Danio rerio: one gene and its partners. The protein of the gene in region 1 purifies or fractionates together with the protein of each later gene. This does not show direct contact. Links are inferred from orthologs where the notes say so. Each region holds a gene or a part of one and is shown on either strand. Other genes may lie near its edges. The genes, in order: usp4, rbbp8 and dcp1b.

What was found.
Region 2: the proteins of usp4 (region 1) and rbbp8 purify together in Homo sapiens (affinity purification with western blotting; 3 studies listed by BioGRID, with this or other methods). This does not show direct contact. The link is inferred for Danio rerio from reciprocal best matches to the Homo sapiens genes USP4 and RBBP8.
Region 3: the proteins of usp4 (region 1) and dcp1b purify together in Homo sapiens (co-immunoprecipitation; 3 studies listed by BioGRID and IntAct, with this or other methods). This does not show direct contact. The link is inferred for Danio rerio from reciprocal best matches to the Homo sapiens genes USP4 and DCP1B.

The regions. Positions count from the first base shown.
Region 1 is NC_133181.1:44,915,832-44,919,951, reverse strand, and holds the start of usp4 (ubiquitin carboxyl-terminal hydrolase 4), read left to right. Parts: upstream 1-1,230; 5' UTR 1,231-1,242; coding exon 1,243-1,391; intron 1,392-2,755; coding exon 2,756-2,883; intron 2,884-4,120.
Region 2 is NC_133199.1:39,949,199-39,952,854, forward strand, and holds part of rbbp8 (DNA endonuclease RBBP8), read left to right. Parts: intron 1-1,136; coding exon 1,137-1,209; intron 1,210-1,300; coding exon 1,301-1,455; intron 1,456-3,656. UniProt on the Homo sapiens protein: Endonuclease that cooperates with the MRE11-RAD50-NBN (MRN) complex in DNA-end resection, the first step of double-strand break (DSB) repair through the homologous recombination (HR) pathway.
Region 3 is NC_133179.1:20,906,844-20,911,228, reverse strand, and holds the start of dcp1b (mRNA-decapping enzyme 1B), read left to right. Parts: upstream 1-1,493; 5' UTR 1,494-1,700; intron 1,701-2,439; 5' UTR 2,440-2,467; coding exon 2,468-2,611; intron 2,612-2,772; coding exon 2,773-2,813; intron 2,814-3,076; coding exon 3,077-3,204; intron 3,205-4,385. UniProt on the Homo sapiens protein: May play a role in the degradation of mRNAs, both in normal mRNA turnover and in nonsense-mediated mRNA decay. May remove the 7-methyl guanine cap structure from mRNA molecules, yielding a 5'-phosphorylated mRNA fragment and 7m-GDP.

The DNA of each region.
Region 1 (4,120 bases):
ACAGAATTGGTGCAAACTATTCTGGCTTCACGGTGCAGGCCCCTGATCCTCCCTGCAGTGGCTTGTTAAAAAATACCTACACAACAATATAATCATGATTTAACTAAAATGTTGATCATTTATATTAAAGAAAACAAAAATGTACATTTTTGGACCTTTGAATAAAACGCTATTTATCGAAACCAGTACAGTTTTGTAAACATGTTAATAAAACCATCATGCAACATATTTTTGGCATTTGTTGATTCAGTTATGTTTGATTCATGAATGAATCTTTTAGAGGGGGTTTGTGAATCAGTTCAGCTGACTCATGAAACAGATCCAGCTCCGAATGAAATATTTTGCAATTCACTATTCGATTAAATCTTCTAAGACTGAATTTAATAGGGAACATTAATCATTTTAGTAGCTAACTGACATAAATAATAAATACAAATAAATATATAAAAAGTGTATAAAGTGAGGTGTCATGATGTGGACACCAAACCACTGTTCATCATGAACATTTTGTTTTATTTTGTTTTTTCTATTCTGGAATGGTACAAATCTATGTAAAGGTTATGCTATGGCATTTACTATGTGAACACCACACACAAAACTCACAAACATAAGTCAAATGTATCCTGAAAGAAAGTCATACCTGTGCATATTTGCAGTCAGAAATAACAGTTTTATCAATTTTGAGATCTCAATCTCAAATTTGAAACATTTTAAGAATTGTTTTTACAATTATATATATATATATATATATATATATATATATATATATATATATATATATATATATATATATATATATATAATTTTTTTTTTTTTTTTACAAATTGTAAAAATAAAAACATTTTGGTGAGCGTTTTATATCATTAAGTTAAACTTAAGGTTAAACTTCACTAGCACTCAGTGTTTGTAAAAATGTCTTAGCAGAAAATACATTTCTGGTCATGTTCATATAAAGTAATTGGACAATAACAATTGAATATAGGCCTAAATTACAGTTTATAGGCAGAACATGTAACAATATTAAACTAAAACATAGTAAACTTATTTCAGTTAATAAAAAATGTTTATTAACCGCTGTACCAGAGGGCTCGGTTTGTTTCATTTATCAGCCGCTCCCAGATTGCATGTAGCGGCTAGTCGAGCTCGGCAGTAGCTCCAGTGTGCGCGCTCCCTTTAGCGCTGCGCGTCCCCGGTATACTTCAGCAGCGCGCTCGCGGTCACTGCGGGTTCACTCGCTGCACGATGGCGGAGGGAGGCGGACCCGAGTCGGGTAACGCTTCGGACCCTGACGAGAAGCCGGTGATCACACAGACACCAGTACCGTCCACCGAGAGTCAAAAGCAGAGCATCGGGACACTGCTAAAAACGCTACTTCGAAAGGGAGACGAGTGGTAAGAGTTTTTTTTAAATAAAGCCGTAGTCATGGCACGCTTGTCGGCATCAGCTCAGGCCTACCGACGGAGACACCGGCTGCCGGAAATCCCTTCACTTCTCCGGCTGTGGACAGCCACATGTTCTGCTAACACCCAGAAACTATATAGAGTACATTACTGTTCAGGCGATATGACACAACAGTTTGTGGTTTAATATTATTAGCATTTAACACAATTTATGTCGGTTAAAAAACGATGAAGTTGTCTTGTAGCTAGTTAGCACAGGTTAACCAACCTTAGCATTCCATTTCTCCCCAAACATCACAGTATTTCCACCGTAAATGTCTCTTTAATGCATAAGGTGTTTTAGGCACGTCAGTAACGTTAGCTGAAGAGTTGGTAACGTTAAATAAACTCAAGCACCCCGTTGTCGGTTATCAGTTTTCTGATAAGCTAATGTTGCATGGCAAAGTAGCGTCAGGCATGTAAGGCACTTCTTTAGCCGAGGCTAGTTAGCCAGCCTAGTTTGCGTTTCGTTGACGGGTTAAGTGTTATTTTCTGTCAGACGTCAAACTTATTTTAGGGTTACTGACAAACTAGATTAAAATAAAGGTCAGACTTCTCCTTTTAAAGTTGTAGAAAGGAGTGTAAGCTACATAAACAAGTATTGCAGGCAGTGCTTTGTCATGGCCACTGGATAACACCCAGTCACTCAAAATGTTGTTAGGCAGCAGAAGAGTTTATGGCACCGATAAGACATGCACATACATATATTTTGAAATTATGTAGATTGAAGGTCAAAACATGTAATACATTATCTGTTAAATATTTGTATTTGTTTTTTTGTTTGTTTGTTTCTGTGTGGCTTTCATTTAGGAAAGCAATCCGAGAAGTAGAGTCTTGACACCTTTAATAGACTTATTTTTTTAGTTCAGCTTTATGCTTGTGCAAATCACCATTTTGGATTTAAAGGAATAACGTTAGTTCATTCAAAATGACAGCTTCTGCTACATTCCATGCGTTTTGTTTTGCTAAAATGCATGTAAACATTCAAGTTGTCAATGTGCCGACAATGACAAAATTTTCACTTTTGGGTTTCCAGTCAGTTAATTTACATTTTTGACATTTTATCAAAGTGCAATGACTGTCTCTTGGCAGAGGGAATCAAGTGCTAACAAGATTATGTAGTGGAACAAGTTCCTACTTTAGATGAGATTAAGAAAGGCATCCTTATTGACTGTTCTAAATTGGTAGGTGTGTAATGTAACTAAATAGAAACTCGCTTTGCATACTGTTTTGCGCTCATAATTTAGGAGAAACACATTAATTGTCTGTTCCCTCTGACTCTTCACTGATCTCCAGCTATTGTTTCATTTGTTTAGGTATTTGATTGACAGCCGGTGGTTCAAACAGTGGAAGAAATATGTTGGCTTTGACAGCTGGGATTTGTACAATGTTGGAGAGCACAATCTCTACCCGGGACCCATTGACAACTCTGGCCTCTTTTCAGGTAGTGAATGTTTGAGTGTTGTTTTGCCACATTCTTACAGATGGATGTTATAAAGAAAAATGGGCATGTTTTGCCACCAGAATATACATATATATAAAAAGAAAGGTTTTTTGGTAATATTTATTTTTTAAGGTTTTTAAAAATTATTTCTCCATTAAATGCAAACTGTTTGAATCAAGTCTTTTCATTTATATATTTTTTGTAATGATTAGCTTATGAGTCCAATTGATCTAATCCTTTAGGTATATTGACACACTCACTGATTCAGTACAGACTATAATTAACAATATATAGCTTTAACAGCTCACTGGAGAGGAAGATCATCTCAGAATAACTACTTTATTAATTCAAATTTTAGTCCAAAACTATTGTGACCTGAAATCAGACCAGAATTAAGCCAACAAGCACCAAATGTGAGTATTGCATTATCAAGTATATTATTACATGCTTCACATACATAGATTTTTTTTGGGTGGGCTGCCCAGGTGTATCAACAGCCACCCAAGAAAGCCAAACATTTGCGATCGATTAACCAGTGGAAAATCTTCTCTCGCTCTGCATGTTTCCTACTGCTGGTTCTGTGTGCACGAGAACCGTCAACACTCACACAGACAATCCCAAGCCAGCAGACCCACAGAGATACTCCAAAATCTCTCTGACCATAGTTCTTGGATGTCTTAAAATGTTCAGGATTTGGGTTTTACTTTTGCTTTTTAAAGTTGTTGTTATTTGTATGTGTTTTTGCATTACCTTTTTAAGAAAAACATTAAATAATTAATTGATAAACTACTTAGATCAACTGTACTATAAACTCAGAGAGAACAAATTATCCTGGCTGCAAAATATTTGTACACCATTAGAAATGGCTAATCAGCTAATTTGCCTGATTTAAATAGTCTACACTTTTTATTCTAGTAATTATCATTTTTGCAGTAATGTCTATTTTTATTTCTTTTTCTGTTATTTATTTATCATTTGCTGTATATTTTATTGATTTAATGATGTTATTGTATTACATACTTTATATATATATATATATATATATATATATATATATATATATATATATATATATATATATATATATATATATATATATATATATATGAAATGCTTTGGCAATACTGTACTATACTCTCTGAAATAAAGGTACGAGAGCTGTCACTAGGGGGGTACCTTTTCAAAAGGTGCACATTTGAACTTGATTTATTAGCACCTAAAACATTTAAGAGATGCA
Region 2 (3,656 bases), on another chromosome or scaffold:
CAAGAAATCTGTTATTAGAAATAAGTTATTAAAACTATTCTGTTTAGAAATGTGTTGAAAAAAATCTTCTCTCTGTTAAACAAAAATTGGGGAAAAAATAAACAGTCGAGGTCAAAATTTATAAATAAAATCATAAATAATTCATAAGAAATGTGTATGTGTATGTAAGTCAGAATTATTAGCCCCCCTGAATTATTAGCGCCCCTGTTTATTTTTTTCCCCTATTTCTGTTTAATGGAGGGAAGATTGTTTCAGCACATTTCTAAGCATAATAGTTTTAAAAAACCTATTTCTAATAACTGATTTATTTTATTTTTGCCATGATGACAGTAAATATTATTTGACTAGATATTTTTTAAGACACTTTTATACAGCTTAAAGTGACATTTAAAGGCTTAACTAGGTTAATTAGGTTAACTAGGCAGGTTAGGGTAATTAGGCAAGTTATTGTATAACGATGGTTTGTTCTGTAGACTATCGAAAAAAAATAGCTTAAAGAGGCTAATAATTTTGTCCCAAAAATAGTTACATTCAAAAAAAAAAAAAAAAAAAAAAATATATATATATATATATATATATATATATATATATATATATATATATATATAATGTCTTTTGGAAATTGTGCATTTGGAATTTGTAATTTAGATGGAATTTTGTAAGAATTGAGTGTTAAAAAAATGGATATAAATAGTTTTTACTTTAAGTTGTCTGAAACTCATCTGTATCTACTAGGGTTGGATGATACATCGGTGGCCATATCAATATCAGCAAACCTGATTTTAATGTTATCTCGATTGGTCTAATAACAAAATTAGGTTTTTATTTGTGCTGTTTTTATGCTTTATTTTTGCTGGTTTTGCCTTGTTGTAAATGTTACTGTTCTGAAGTTAAAGTTTTAAAATAAAATCAGTTGTTCTCTGTAAGTGTTTGATTTTTGTTTTTGCAATCATGCATAACAATTATGGATATAGATATTATTTGTCTGCTATTTTTGTTAATAATATATTGGCTATCTGTTTCAAATCAAATTTACGTTATCAGTTATCAGGTCAAAAATTCCATACCAGTGCAGCTCTCGTCTCATCCAGCCTATCAGTATCAACCCAAAAATCTTCTTCAATGTGTGTGTTTAGAGGCTGAGAGGAAAACTCTGACAGATGAAAACAGGAGACTGAGTCTTGAACTGGAGCGACTCAGGAGGTCTGGGTGAGTCTCAGAGTTGAAGAAAACATGATGAAATACTGAGCACTGGTGACATTCATCATCATATGACCGTCTGTTTTGAGTGTGTGTTTAGTTCTCCACAGAACACGTCCTCTGAGGCTGAGGAGGGAATGATCCCAGACTCTCCTCTCCGGCCGCTGTCTTTACCCGTTGCCAGCAAGATGAAACGCCGGAAAGAGCAGAACCACGTCCGATACACTGAGACACCGCTATCACTCTCACACCCCGGTTAGTCACTCCAGAGAAGTTTAATCAGAATCAGTTTTATTGCCAAGTGTGCTTCACACACACAAGGAATAACACAAGAAGCTTCCAGTGTACATAAAGTGACAACACAAAATAAATATGAGGAAAAAAAGATGATAAACATTAAACGGAGATGCAGTTAGTCCAGAAATCTGGATGTTGAGTTGTATGTACAGATTTGTTATAAATATACAGGTTATAACATAAGGTGCTGTGTGCAAATGCGAATGTAGAAATTATTGCATTGTATATTGATATAAGGGGCTGTGTACAAGTGCGTATGAGAAAGTATTGCACATATTTATTGCACAGTTGGGTTATATTTAACTGTTCATGCAGTAGATGGCCTGAGGAAAGAAACTTTTCCTGTGTCTGGCTGTTTTTGTTCTTGGTGCTCTGAAGTGCCGACCAGACGGTAACTGTTCAAACAGGAAGTGTGCTGGGTGCGAGGCGTCCAGAGTGATTTTGCGAGCCCTTTTACTCACTCTGGAAGAGTACAGTTCTTGAAGGGTAGTGCCAGTGATTCGTTCAGCAGTCCGGACTATTCACTGTAGTCTACGGAGGTCGGTTTTGGCAGCTGAGCTGAACCAGACGGTGATTGAAGTGCAGAGGATGGATTGGATGACAGCTGAATAGAACTGCACAAGCAGCTCCTGTGCCAGGTTTAACTTCCTCAACTGACAAAGGAAGTACAGTCTATGCTGGGCTTTCTTCACGATAGAGTCTATGTGAATGTCCCACTTCAGATCCTGAGAGATGGTGTTGCCCAGGAACCCAAGGCCCTGTTCACACTAAGAAATTTTAGTTTTAAATCGCATAAGTTTTGCTACGCATTCCATCCACACTACCCTAGAGTTTTTGAGCGCCAAAGACTGAGCTTTTTGAAAACACTAAAGAGGCCGTTTTCATTCTATAACGCTGCTGCTCCAACTCGGTGTGGATGGGGAAAACGGAGACATCTGAAAACGGAGGCGTGGCTGTTGACATTCACCTATTTGATTGGGGTTTTTCTCAATATTGAGTAGCCTACACACACTTCAGTCCTGCATCCTCCCCTTGTAAGTTCAGACTTCACAAGTTTGATAAGGTAAATAAACTCCTCAGGACACGTCGGGTAAATTTTCAAAGGGAACAGTGTACTGTATACCCTCAATCACATCACCCTGGCTATGCTGTTTCACATCTCAACAATCGAATGAAAATATGATATTAGGAACTGTCAGTTTTTATTTTTAAAATTACCTTAACAGACACCAAAAATGTTGAGGCGTCGTGTAGCTACATATTTATATGACCGACATCTTCACTGTATGAATTTTTTAAACAAAAAGTCAGGGAGTATGTCGTTAGACAGCAAGATGAATTAAATATCACATTTAGCAAATATAGCTAGATTAGATCCAGCGGTAGATTCTTGATGAACCATCCGATGTGCACAGCTTTCACCTAAGGTGCTGTGCTCAAAATACCCGCTGACTGCCTGGAGCTCAGACGCTGCAGCGCATGCCAGTGTGTGTGTGTGTGTGTGGTCACGTCATGTGTGTTTTCAGTAGTATAGTGTGGACGGAGATCTGTTCAGAGACATTAGGTGAAACGCTGGACGTTTTCATTCTACATCGCCACTTTAAAAACTAAAACTTATTATTGTAAACGGGACCTAAAATGCCTAAATGACCTTAATATTATGTATTATGTAATATGTGTGATTAGGGATGGGAAATATGACAAAAATCTCAAGATATAAGTTGTCTCATATCCTGATAACAGTATATATCACATTATATTACCTTTTCTGTAAAATGTAATCAATTAACAGATGCATGGCCACATGTAAAGGACAATTACTTTTTAATGAATGTACTGAGAAACATGCTCATTCATATGTGATCATATTTGTCACTTTATTCGGATCTTTAGGGCAAATGTTTGACTAGAAATGTAGAAATAAAAAATGTATATAAACCAAATTGATAGAGATTTTAATGGCTCAAATTAACCGAAAAGAAATTGAATGAATGAATGAATATACATGTTTTGATTCCAAATTAGACATATGCTTTCATGGATAATTAAAATATAATAATACATAATATGGTCACACTTTACAATAAGGTTCATTAGTTAATGTTAATTAATGCATTTACTAAGATGAACAAACAATAAACAATACATTTACTACTGTA
Region 3 (4,385 bases), on another chromosome or scaffold:
TCTAATGTAGGCTAAATGTTGGTTAAAACTTTTCTGCAGTGTTTAATTAGCTAAAACATATAGATGTGTACATAACATCACGATCACTTTAACAGAATTAGAAAAAAAATCTGCATGGGCTGCTGTGCTCTCTCAGAAATAGGTTGGAAATGATGCTGAACAAGTTAATTAAACACGAGTATTTAGGTAATGATGACCTCTAGTGGTACCTTTATAAAGTGCAGTTGAGTAAATTATCTTGAGAGGAAAGGATTTTCAATCTTGGCTCCGGTGCCAATGGGGCAGTGCAATGAGCTTTGTGGAAATGCTAAAGAGAAAAAAAGCATAGAAAAATGTAGCCTGTGTGCGTGTGTGGAAATATATATATATAAACAGAAAAACAAATGCATAGTAAAGCAAACACAACACGTAGATAATACAAAATAATAATAATACAATGCCTAACATTTTAAATAAACAAAATAAATTTATAATCATATTTATAAATAAATAAATATAGACAGACAGACAGACAGACAGATAGAGAGACAGTGTAACAATATGTTATACATTTATATTTCTTTCATGGTTTAAAATGGTCCTTATGGGGAAAACCTGTATAGGTGTCTTTTACATTTAGGATAGAGGTCCCACTAAAGACGATAATGATGACATCTAAAAGACTGGCAACCCCTATTTCAATTTCAAGGGGCAGACTTCACTAGCGAAGTAAGCAGTCGCTTACAGGGAATTATGGGGCCCTGAAAAATGACAATGTCTATAACCATTACGATTTTAACAACATTACTTCTTTTTAAAACCGGGGGCCCCATGAATAGTGCAACGTTCCTCCGTACAGCAAATGTAAAAACTAATCATAAATATGTCAAGTAAACTGTACATACAGTATAGTTTGTGAACTTGTGTGTGAGTGAGTTTATTGTATTTAATTTTACATTAAGAGGATTAAGGAAGATTAAAGGAGTTTAAAACATATTTTGAAAAAAAATCTTTAGAGAATGAGAGTGTTTTGAGTTTCATCGCTAGGGCCCCACACCTGAAATTGCTTAGAGCCCCAAGTCCGCCCCTGCTCAATGGGGTACAACAGTACATTTAGATTTATAGATTTATGTAGGCTAGTTGCAGGTGGGAAATGTGCCATTTTAATAATCACAGTAACATTACAGCGGTTGGACTTTACAAATGCAGCAGGGCCTCTGGACTGTAACATTTGTTTTTGGAAAGAATACGCAAACAATTAGGCAACAAAAACTAAACTACAAATCATCGTCTTTACCGAGGCAGCAATAGTGCAGGAGTGCAAGAATTTCGTATCCTCAAGGGTTCCCCTGGGTGCAGAAAGTCTGCAGCGTCAGCTCACTGCTTTAGCGTGATGTAAACGAACGTGCTGGCGTTCTCAGGTGAGCTCGAGCCAGCTGGGGGCTCATCCGTAACTCTGTCTCGACTATTTTCCCCTTTGCGCGCGCTCGGCGATTAGCTCGTTCTGTCTTCTTGACAGCGCAAACATGGCGATGACGGCAGCGGGACGAGAGTTAGACAAGTGAAATAAAGCCTTATATTCTTGTTTACTGCTTTGCACATCCCTGAAAACATACACAAGGAGACCGGATCGTTAAATAAGCTGTTTAAGTGTTGTTTTTACAGAGTTAAATTTTGCTTTTTAAAGGTATTTTAGGATTTGTGCCGTATTTTAAGTGGAGGTAAGTTTAACTCCAGTACGATGTATAAAAGAGCAACCGCAGCTCACCAAGGCCTTATTTAGTTCACTCGTAAACTTATGAATGTATGATGTATACCATTTTTTAAAAAGTAAAAACACTATTAATGCAGGGTTAGGGATATTAACAAACCGCTCAAGCGCAGTGTTAAACTTGTGTACGATGTCCCGCAGCGCTTGTGCTATGAACATCAACGGTGACCTAACCGGTCAAAGTGACCAGAATAAATACAGACGAGGATGAGGTGGACTCTTTAGACTCGGGCCAGTATATAACCACTCGTTATACCATAGTAACTACATGTAAGGGTTAGCTTGTCAACCACATTTTAGTGAATGCGAGTTTAAGAAATGTATTTTTATGCACACACATTTTTACTCATTGTATAAATTAATATATAAATGAATGCTTATAACTAAGAATAACGAATTTAGTTACATTTTGTAATCTTGCAAAGGTCTGACGCATTAATTTCTGTACACAGTAGACAACATTTGAAGTGGATCAAAACCTTTCATCAAAGTTATCCCAAAACTATTGAACAACACCCACATATAGATGATGGATGGATGGATGGATAGATAGATAGATAGATAGATAGATAAAACAATACTATATTTGTTTGGTAAACATGCAAACTGAACCAAAAGACCCATACAATAGAGGTGTACAGTAATTACATGTTAATAAAGAGTAATTACATCTTAATAAAGAGCATAAGTTTTTATTTACAGAAGCGAGCTGGAGCCATGACTGCAAGCACAGGTGGCGGTGGGAGCTGTTTATCAATGAGTCTGTCTGCTCTGAAGAGACTCGACCCCTACATCAGCAGCATCACAGACCTAGCCAGCCAAGTAGCACTCTACACCTTTAACAACAACACCAATGAATGGGTAAACAACAAGATCATCTCCCTTAACATAACATCTTAGTGGATAGAGATATTTATTTCTACTGCTACAAACATAATATTATTGTTTTAAATTGTAATATTATTTTTCTCCGACTTAAACATAAATAGATCAATGTATGTTTTTGTTGTGGTTTTCTGTAGGAAAAGACAAATGTGGAGGGAACTCTGTTTGTCTATAGCAGGTTTGTTTGATTCTTACATGTTTTTAACAGTGAAGCAACACCCACATGTACTGTATGGCCCTAAATCAGAGCCCTAGAGATCTAATGTGGCTCTAAGGGTCAGAGAAATAACCTGCACAATATTTCTCAGCATTTAGATGTACCACTGTTGTCTGCTCTTACACTGCACAACACCCACATGCAGTTTTGTAGGTCCTTCAGACTCATAAGCTTTAGTTTCCCACTCATGCTACGAGTTTTAACGTCAGTTCTCTGTGTATCAGGCTTGCCTCCCCCAGGCATGGCTTTACCATCCTCAATCGCTTGAGTATGGACAACCTGACTGAACCAATCACTAAGGACTTGGATTTCCAGCTGCAGCATCCATTTCTCCTGTACAGGAACGCTCGCTGTAAGTCTGTCTTTTTGTTGAACGAGCTCAAAGTCATCAGAGTGAAATATTTTAGACTAAACCAAAAGACTGCAAAAATATTGCTAAGCCCAAAGTATGCATGTATAGTTGATTTAAATGAAGAAATCCTTACATAATACAGTGTGTCAAAATATATGTGATGTGAGCGAGAGAGAGAGAGAGAGATGGCTGGGTGATAAGAAAATATTATCACATATCAATGATGTCTCCTGAGCAGGCTAATGTTGATTATGACATTAAATTATTGGGTGATAATCAGCATTATTGGGTTAAAAAAATAAGATTGTCAAGTAAATGTATTCTATCTAGATGATATTTATTTACCTTTACATTTTTCACAAATGTTTATGGTAAAGCATGTCAGCGATATATATTTTAATGAAGCACATTATTTCAGAAATGCAGTTACCTAAACTTATTTAATTTAGCCCTATAAATACAGTTACAATAAAATATAGACATTATAGATAATATATTGACCAATTAAGAAAGTAAGTGAAGTTTTACAAACTAATTTTGAGAGAAGCACGTTATATCAAACTGACTATAAATAGCCCGACTAACATTACTCCCTCATTTTAATTTTTTGAAGAATCCCCCCATGCCCCCCATCTTCCCCTTTCCTCCTGTACCAAGAGAAGCTCTCAAGAACTACCTGATCTCGTACCTCCTTACATGCTAACTGACCAGGAGGGAGCCCTGGGCTCAATTATCTCCGAGCTCAGGGTTCTCTCTCGGGACAGCATGCCAAACCTGCTAACACTTGAAATGACAAATGGGAAAGACGAGAAAAAAGTTTAATGGCATAAAGAAAAAGCATGGACATAAATTCAGCCTTAGAATTGTAAATGTGTTTATTTTATTAAAAATATAATTAAAATGAATGGACCTGAATTTAGCTGATTTATTGTCAAATTAAATTTAACAAAAGGACATTCAGGCTCGTTATCTTTTGTAATCAGTTAATCAGGAAAACAAATGCACTTCTCTGAAGTTAAAGCTTTACGACGATGCTACAAACTCTTTCAGAAGGACTGCTTGCATGCAGGCACACAAAACCTTTTTTGGCTTACAATGGAAATTTTTTAATATTCCTCCATCAATTACATTCTCCCTGGGCTGGCGCATGCAGCTTTAGACAAATTTATCATGAGGTAGTC